Macaca mulatta: one gene and its partner. Each later gene encodes a partner of the first gene's protein in a complex. Links are inferred from orthologs where the notes say so. Each region holds a gene or a part of one and is shown in the gene's direction. Other genes may lie near its edges. The genes, in order: POLE4 and POLE.

What was found.
Region 2: POLE4 (region 1) and POLE share a complex: the UniProt entries of both Homo sapiens proteins name them as parts of the DNA polymerase epsilon complex. The link is inferred for Macaca mulatta from reciprocal best matches to the Homo sapiens genes POLE4 and POLE.

Annotation. Positions count from the first base shown.
Region 1 is NC_133418.1:49,825,472-49,829,383, reverse strand, and holds the start of POLE4 (DNA polymerase epsilon subunit 4), read left to right. Parts: upstream 1-1,305; 5' UTR 1,306-1,332; coding exon 1,333-1,545; intron 1,546-2,001; coding exon 2,002-2,086; intron 2,087-2,766; coding exon 2,767-2,808; intron 2,809-3,912. UniProt on the Homo sapiens protein: Accessory component of the DNA polymerase epsilon complex. Participates in DNA repair and in chromosomal DNA replication.
Region 2 is NC_133416.1:140,045,641-140,049,452, reverse strand, and holds part of POLE (DNA polymerase epsilon catalytic subunit A), read left to right. Parts: intron 1-748; coding exon 749-890; intron 891-1,024; coding exon 1,025-1,105; intron 1,106-2,127; coding exon 2,128-2,235; intron 2,236-2,576; coding exon 2,577-2,687; intron 2,688-2,956; coding exon 2,957-3,042; intron 3,043-3,258; coding exon 3,259-3,378; intron 3,379-3,812. UniProt on the Homo sapiens protein: Catalytic component of the DNA polymerase epsilon complex. Participates in chromosomal DNA replication.

The DNA of each region.
Region 1 (3,912 bases):
CAGCTTCATCTTGGCTTCACCACATTCTGTCGTGTGTGTGTGTGACTCAGTAACCACTCTGCGCCTCAATGTTTTCAAGTAAGGTTTCAATAATAAGGTTAAGCTTATTTTGTAAAATAAGGTTAAAATATATAGGGTATTGTGAAAATGACAGAAGTTATGATTTACATAAATGTAAAACACTTTGAATCATGCACATACTAAATGCTCAAAGGGGTTCACTATTATTATGATTGACTTAGATTAAAGCTATTGTAAATATTAACTGTTCCTCTATGCTATCAGACCTCAAAGTGTGGTGTGGGGATTCATGGGGGTGGGAATTTTCTGGAGACCCTTTTCAGGAGTCCATGAGGTCAAAATTATTTTCTTAATACTACTAAGAGGTTATTTGTATTTTTCATTCACATTCTCTCAAGGAGATGCAGTAGTTTTTCAGAGTTACCTGAGAAGTGCTAACGTTATCAACAGAAGCAGCTAGAGAATCCAGTTCTCACATGAAATCAGACATTAGAGACTTTTCTTACTAGATTCATTTTTTAAAAAAAGTTTCTTGTCATAAAAATGTTTGTTAGCTCGTAATGCATTAGTAATTTTAAATCAGTATTTTAAAACTTTAATTCTAATACAGTAAGTACTGATATAACTGACAGAAACAAAAGCTACTTGGGCTCTTTAGTAATCTTTAAGACCGTAAAGGTATCTTGAGGTCAAATTTGAGAACCAAAGCTGTGATGCAACCTGTTTTTGAACAAACGTGGATGCCTTACAACCACAATTTCATCCTTTCCAGCCTCCATGACTTTTTCTTGTTTCCTCTGGCTGGGCTGAATTTCTTCTTATCTGCCTGCAAAAGCCCTACTCCTCCTTCAAGAGCATCCATAACTGAATTTGGTCCAGACTTCGCTGCCTCCCTGGCATCCTCTTCCACGATGCTGGGACCTCCAGGGCCGGGCCTCCCTCGGACACGTGCCCTCCTTAGCCTTGGGGTATTAACATTGTTTTGACGGAGGCTCTCTTGCGAGCCCAGTCTAGATTTCTCCCCTTACCAGCCTGGCACAGGCACCAAGGGGAGGTGCCTGGGCTCCACAGGCCCAACGGGCCAGAGGGTCACCAGTAGCGTCAACCAAGGGCACGACAGCCCAAGGGTGGCCAGGCGCGAGGGAAAAGCCGGAGCCCAGTCCCAGCCCACCCGGTTTCCGGCACCGCCCTGCCGCGTAGGGGCGGAGTCGCGCGCCTACACAGGGTGTGGCCTCCAGCCCGCGCGGGAAAGGGCCTGCGCCGCATGCGCGCGCACAGTCGGCGGCCGCGCGCAGCACGCTCAGGGCCGGGATGGCAGCGGCGGCGGCGGCAGGAAGCGGGACACCCCGAGAGGAGGAGGGACCTGCTGGGGAGGCAGCGGCCTTGCAGCCCCAAGCCCCAACGAGTGTGCCTGGGGCTCGTCTCTCGAGGTTGCCTCTGGCGCGAGTGAAGGCCTTGGTGAAGGCGGACCCCGACGTGACGCTAGCCGGACAGGAAGCCATCTTCATTCTGGCACGAGCCGCGGTGCGGCAGCAGCGCGAGGGCACGCGGGGGTGGGGGAGGTGGAGCGCGGGGCGGAGCCTCGGGGCCTTCCGCGGGCGGGGCTTAGGGTGGCGTGGGCCGGGTTTTGAGATGTGGGTGTGGACCCGGAAGGCGGAGGAAAGGGGCCGGGGACCTATGCGAGTTGTGTGTTTTGTTAACACTCCTCCCTCTTGTTGAGGACCTGGTTAGTGAGTGACTTTAATTTGTATCTCCAGGGCCTCATACAGAACTTGTAGGAGACTTTAGTGAATGAAGGAGAATCCTGGGAAGAGGGTGGCGGAATGGATGTTCATGAAGTCCAGGACAATCTTAGCTTCCAGAACATTTTCTTGCCCCTGAGCCTGCCTTCTCCCTCTCTGCCCCCACCCACAAACCAGAGCCCTCACCTCCTCAGTGTGCTAGAACCCATTACTAAAACTTTGCTTTTTTACTTCACAGGAACTGTTTGTGGAGACCATTGCAAAAGATGCCTACTGTTGTGCTCAGCAGGGAAAAAGGAAAACTCTTCAGAGGAGAGACTTGGGTAGAGTGGCACTGCCAGTGTCTGGGGACAGAGAAGGGAGGGCTGGGCTGGTTTTACCTTGCGCAGGTTGAGAAGACGTCACTCTGATCTGAGAGGTCCCACAGCGTCTCTCCCCAGGATGGTTTCTGTTGGCCACAGTGCCAGGAAGCCCTACCTGTAGAGGCTCTCTGCTTGGGGTGGTGGAGCAGTGTGTGGTGTCTGGGGTTGCCAAAGCGGACTGGATCCCTTCATACCTTCTGCCAAATTGCACCAGAAAAAGATAATTCTTTTTCACCTAGCAACTGGGGATTTGATTTCTGACTCTTGTCTGGTTGGTAACCCTCACCTGTGTAAGCTTTCATATACCGTGTTCTCATGCGCCCTGCGTCTATTGTCACATTCTTCTCTGATAACTTTAAGAGCAAAGCGAATAAATAATTTAGATGTATTTTAGGAGCCCCCTCCCCCCCCCGCATTGAATGGTATTTGCCTACACTTTTCTTACTCTTCTAGGGAGACAACTAATACATATATGAGAGTTGCTGGTAGAGTAGATACGGATCTCAAGGCAGCAAGGGACGCATCTTATAATTGCCCTCATTTGCCCAAAGCCTCATGCCCTTCACTGTAGATTGTGCTGTTTTCTGACTGACGTCAGCATGGCTGGAGTTAGTCAGGTGTCTCTTTGCCTTGTGTTTCAGATAATGCAATAGAAGCTGTGGATGAATTTGCTTTTCTGGAAGGTGAGTTCTCTCTCAGTGGGCAGTCATTTCCACCTGTCTTTTGCATGTTAATGTGAAATTCAAAACCTCATAAAACGGATGCCTGCTTCTTGTTTGTGTAGGGATAATTCTTTCTCCGTACTTGCTGTTAGAAAAAAGTAACTTGCTAAATGAGGTTCAGTTTTCTCCCTTGGGGAATTAAAACTTCTACCTGAAAATTGCTAGCCATAAAGAAATAGGAGGGAATATAAAGATCCCAGTGTAGTTAGATGAATTCAGAAGTTTGATTCCTATCTTGTTCGCCATACCTAGATATCAGCCTTGCCCCTCTTATCATGTTAGAGATCAGAAACAATTGTCAACATTTAAAGGGTGACCGCTTGTTCTTTTTTCTTCAACAATCTGTGTGAAGTGATTATTTTGCTGCAATAAGACTTGTCTGTGTTTTTAGGAGTCATGGATTAACTTGTGTACTAACTAAATTTTTTCATTAAAAAAGCAAATATTTGAAATACCTAATTTTAGCTACCTTGCCTCAGAGCTATTTCTGCTACTTAATTTTTTTTTTTTCTTTTTTGAGACGGGGTCTCGCTCTGTCGCCCAGGCTGTAGTGTGGTGGCGCGATCTCGGCTCACTGCAAGCTCCGCCTCCCGGGTTCACGCCATTCTCCTGCCTCAGCCTCCCCAAGTAGCTAGGACTACAGGCGCCTGCCGCCACGCCCGGCTAATTTTTTTTTTTTGCATTTTTAGTAGAGATGGGGTTTCACTGTGTTAGCCAGGATGGTCTCGATCTCCTGACCTTGTGATCCGCCCGCCTCGGCCTCCCAAAGTGTTAGGATTACAGGCGTGAGCCACCGCACCAGGCCGCTACTTAATTCTTAAATCTGATCAGCTTACTCTTCACTACACATATATAGTCATGTGCTGCATAGTAACATTTTGGTCAGCCATGGACTGCTCACATGAGGGTGGTCCCAGCAGATTATAATGGAGCTGAAAAATTCCTGTTGCCCAGTGAGGTAGTGGTCATAACATCCTAATGAAATACATTACCTTTTCTATGTTTAGATATGTTTAAAAACGCTTATCACCATGTTACATTTGCCTACAGTATTCAGTACAGTAA
Region 2 (3,812 bases), on another chromosome or scaffold:
TAACTGGGATCACAGGTGTGTACCCCATGACTGGCTAATTATTATTATTATTTTTTTTTTTTTGTAGAGATGAGTCTCCCTATGTTGCCCAGGCCTGTCTTGAACTCCTGGGCCTAAGTGTACCTGCTGCCTCCCAGAGTGCTGGGATTAGGGGCATAAGCCACCATGCTTGGCCCTCTTTTTTTTTTTTTTAGTTGGGGTGTAACTCACATCACATAAAATGCATACATCTTACCCTGAATTTTTTTCCTGTCTGTAGGATTATCATCCAAGCAATTCTTTATTTTTTTGAGACGGAGTCTAGCTCTGTTGCCCAGGCTGGAGTGCAATGGCGCAATCTCGGCTCACTGCAACCTTCACCTCCCAGGTTCAAGTGATTCTCCTACCTCAGCCTCCGAAGTATCTGGGATTACAGGCGTGCACCACCACGCCTGGCTAATTTTTGTATTTTTAGTAGAGACGGGGTTTCACCGTGTTGACCACGCTGGTCTCAAACTCCTGACCTCGGGTGATCCGCCCTCCTTGGCCTCCCAAAGTGCTGGGATTATAGGCGTGAGCTGCCATGCCCGGCCCAATCCAAGCCATTCTTAAAGGAAGGACTGCCCTGGTCATTGAAACCACCTCAATTTACCTTTTGTGTTTCCTCAGTTTGGACTCTGGTCTCATCTCTTGCTACTGATTTGGAACTCTGGTCCCACCTCCTCCAGACCCTGGCAGCTGAGTTAGTTGCTCTCTTGTTAATTCCTAGTGTTCTGCAGAGGGGTGGTGTCATTACTGATGAAGAGGAAACCTCTAAGAAGATAGCTGATCAGCTGGACAACATTGTGGACATGCGCGAGTACGATGTTCCCTACCACATCCGCCTCTCCATTGACCTGAAGATCCATGTGGTGAGTAGGGCAGGGTTGGGTTGCTGCTCACATGAATTTCCTAACAGCCAGGAGATGATCATTATGGGTGAATCCACACAGGAGTAGACTTTCCCGGATGTAGAACTCCAGTTAACACACTGTGTGTTTTGCAGGCTCATTGGTACAATGTCAGATACCGTGGAAACGCTTTTCCTGTGGAAATCACCCGCCGAGATGACCTTGTTGAACGACCTGTAAGTTTTGTTGCTTGTATTACCTTCATCATAAAATTTCTGGTTTTCTGGAGAGAATATTCTTTAGTGCTGAAGAGTAAATTTGACTCAAAGATATGTTTCCTGCTTTCCCCCCAAATACTTTATTAAAGGAAATATGGAGTTAGTTTTTCATCAGTTTCTGACAGTATCATGTCCTTTCTTGTTGTATATCACTGCATGACATCAGTATTTGAGCTAGGCAGGATTTGGACATTTGAGGGAAAGCTAGGACTTCCATTGGGTAGTTGATAGTGAAGAGACGTGGTGAAAAATGGATTTGTAACTAGAAGGCCTGGGTTCAAATATGACTTTGTGGTGTTGGGAAAGTCTTTGTATTCAGTTTTCTCTTTTCCGAAACGAAGATATCATCTCTGTGCCACATTTACCTTTCAGGGTTGTCATAACCATCAGAATGAGGTGATGTCTTCTGAAGAGTTTTTCTTTTTTTTTGTTTTTTTTCTTTTGTTTTTTGAGACGGAGTCTGGCTCTGTCGCCCAGGCTGGAGTGCAGTGGCGCGATCTCGGCTCACTGCAAGCTCCGCCTCCTGGGTTTACGCCATTCTCCTGCCTCAGCCTCCTGAGTAGCTGGGACTACAGGCGCCCGCCACCGCGCCCGGCTAATTTTTTGTATTTTTAGTAGAGACGGGGTTTCACCGTGGTCTCGATCTCCTGACCTTGTGATCCGCCCGCCTCGGCCTCCCAAAGTGCTGGGATTACAGGCGTGAGCCACCGCGCCCGGCCTTCTAAAGAGTTTTTCTACTAAAGTTCTGTGATTTTAGGCTTGTCCTGTGATCAGCTGCTCTCTTAGGTGTGTAAGTTTCCACACCATAGAGAGTCGTGATGCTCTTGACGTAGGTTGGTCAGTCTTAGGGTCCCTCTCCCAGCTCTGGAGCCTTTTCACTCTTAACAACCAGAGGGAGGTAGAGCAGGCCGGGGGCCGGTGTTCAGGGAGGCCTGATGGGGAGTTTAGAGCTTGGCTTTATGCTTATTTTGTCCCCACAGGACCCTGTGGTTTTGGCGTTTGACATTGAGACGACCAAACTGCCCCTCAAGTTTCCTGATGCTGAGACAGACCAGATTATGATGATTTCCTACATGATCGACGGCCAGGTGAGCAGGCGGCTTCTGGGAAGAAAGCTCCTGGGATGGGGACCTTGTCTGGTCCCCATACTACAGCAGCGTCTGCCCCACAGTTAGGATGTGTTGAGTGAATAATAAGTTAGTCCAGGAATGGGAGCAGCCAGGCCGTTCCGACTTCCAACTGTACCCTCTCCTTTCCAGTGGGAATCCAGACATGGAGGATCTCTTCTCAGGAAGCTTAGGGCACTTTCACGTTGCTGTGGACTTCTTTGTAGTGAGAATCTCTAGGCAGAGTGTGTGGGCAGGGTGGGGACACCAGGTCTTGGCTTTGCAGCCTCTGACTTGTGCTAATTGCTAATGAACTTCACTAGGGCTACCTCATCACCAACAGGGAGATTGTTTCAGAAGATATTGAAGATTTTGAGTTCACCCCCAAGCCAGAATATGAAGGGCCGTTTTGTGTCTTCAATGAACCCGATGAGGTAAGGAGGTATCACTTGTGAAACTGCCTGGTATTGTGGGAAGAAGGGGCATGCGGATCTTTCCAAGGCCTCGGCATTCCGTCGGATCAGAATTGCAGCTCCATCAGCTTCGTTCTTAGGGTATGACCCTCTTTTCTGCCAGAAACTGGGGCTGGGGTCAGGAATAAGGGCCAGCATGAGGCTGCTGCTTCTGAACTTTGGGGGAGGAATTTGGAAATAGCTTGAAGAAGAGAAAGAGCAGACCTCTGACTGCTGTGACTTGGGTTTAGGCTCATCTGATCCAAAGGTGGTTTGAACACGTCCAGGAGACCAAACCCACCATCATGGTCACCTACAACGGGGACTTTTTTGACTGGTGAGTCTGTGTCTTCTCTGTGAGTAACTGGGCAGCGTTTGAGAGGGAGGGCATTGCATGGTGCGGGGCGCTTCCCATGTTGACTGAGGAGGTGGCTTCTGGGTTCACTCTGCACCTCCCGTGTCTCGGTTACTCCCTGGATCTGAGGGAGGAATGGAGAAAGGGGAATTAGAGCCTGATCTTCCCACTTGCTTGTCTGTCCTCTTTCGAACCCAGGCCATTTGTGGAGGCCCGGGCAGCAGTCCACGGTCTGAGCATGCAGCAGGAGATAGGCTTCCAGAAGGACAGCCAGGGGGAGTACAAGGCACCCCAGTGCATCCACATGGACTGCCTAAGGTAGGGGCTGCACAGCAGCACGGCTCATCACTGCTGTCTGCGAGCGAGATCTGAAGGCCTCTTGCAGACTGTACTGTCACCACATCTCATGGGAGGAGGGTGGCCTCTGAGAGGTGTTTCAGGTCACCCAAGAGGATGGCAGCTACAACCCTGCCGGGGCCCGGGATGTGCTGTCTTTGACTGTTGGCTGACAGTTCGTCAGTGATCAGGCACATTGAGCATCAGCCTCTGGGGTGGGGTAGCCACCGGGAAGACACACTCAACGCACAGGTCCCAGAGCTAGGACCTCATGGAGCTGCACTGCCCAGGCCAGATTGGGATGTGGCAGCCCAGCTGCCTCACAGGACGAGCCTCACAGGACAAGCGCAGATTCCAGATGAGCTGGGGTGGGAGGCAGCTCAAAGCTGCTGAGAATCACGGCGTTCGGGGGCTCT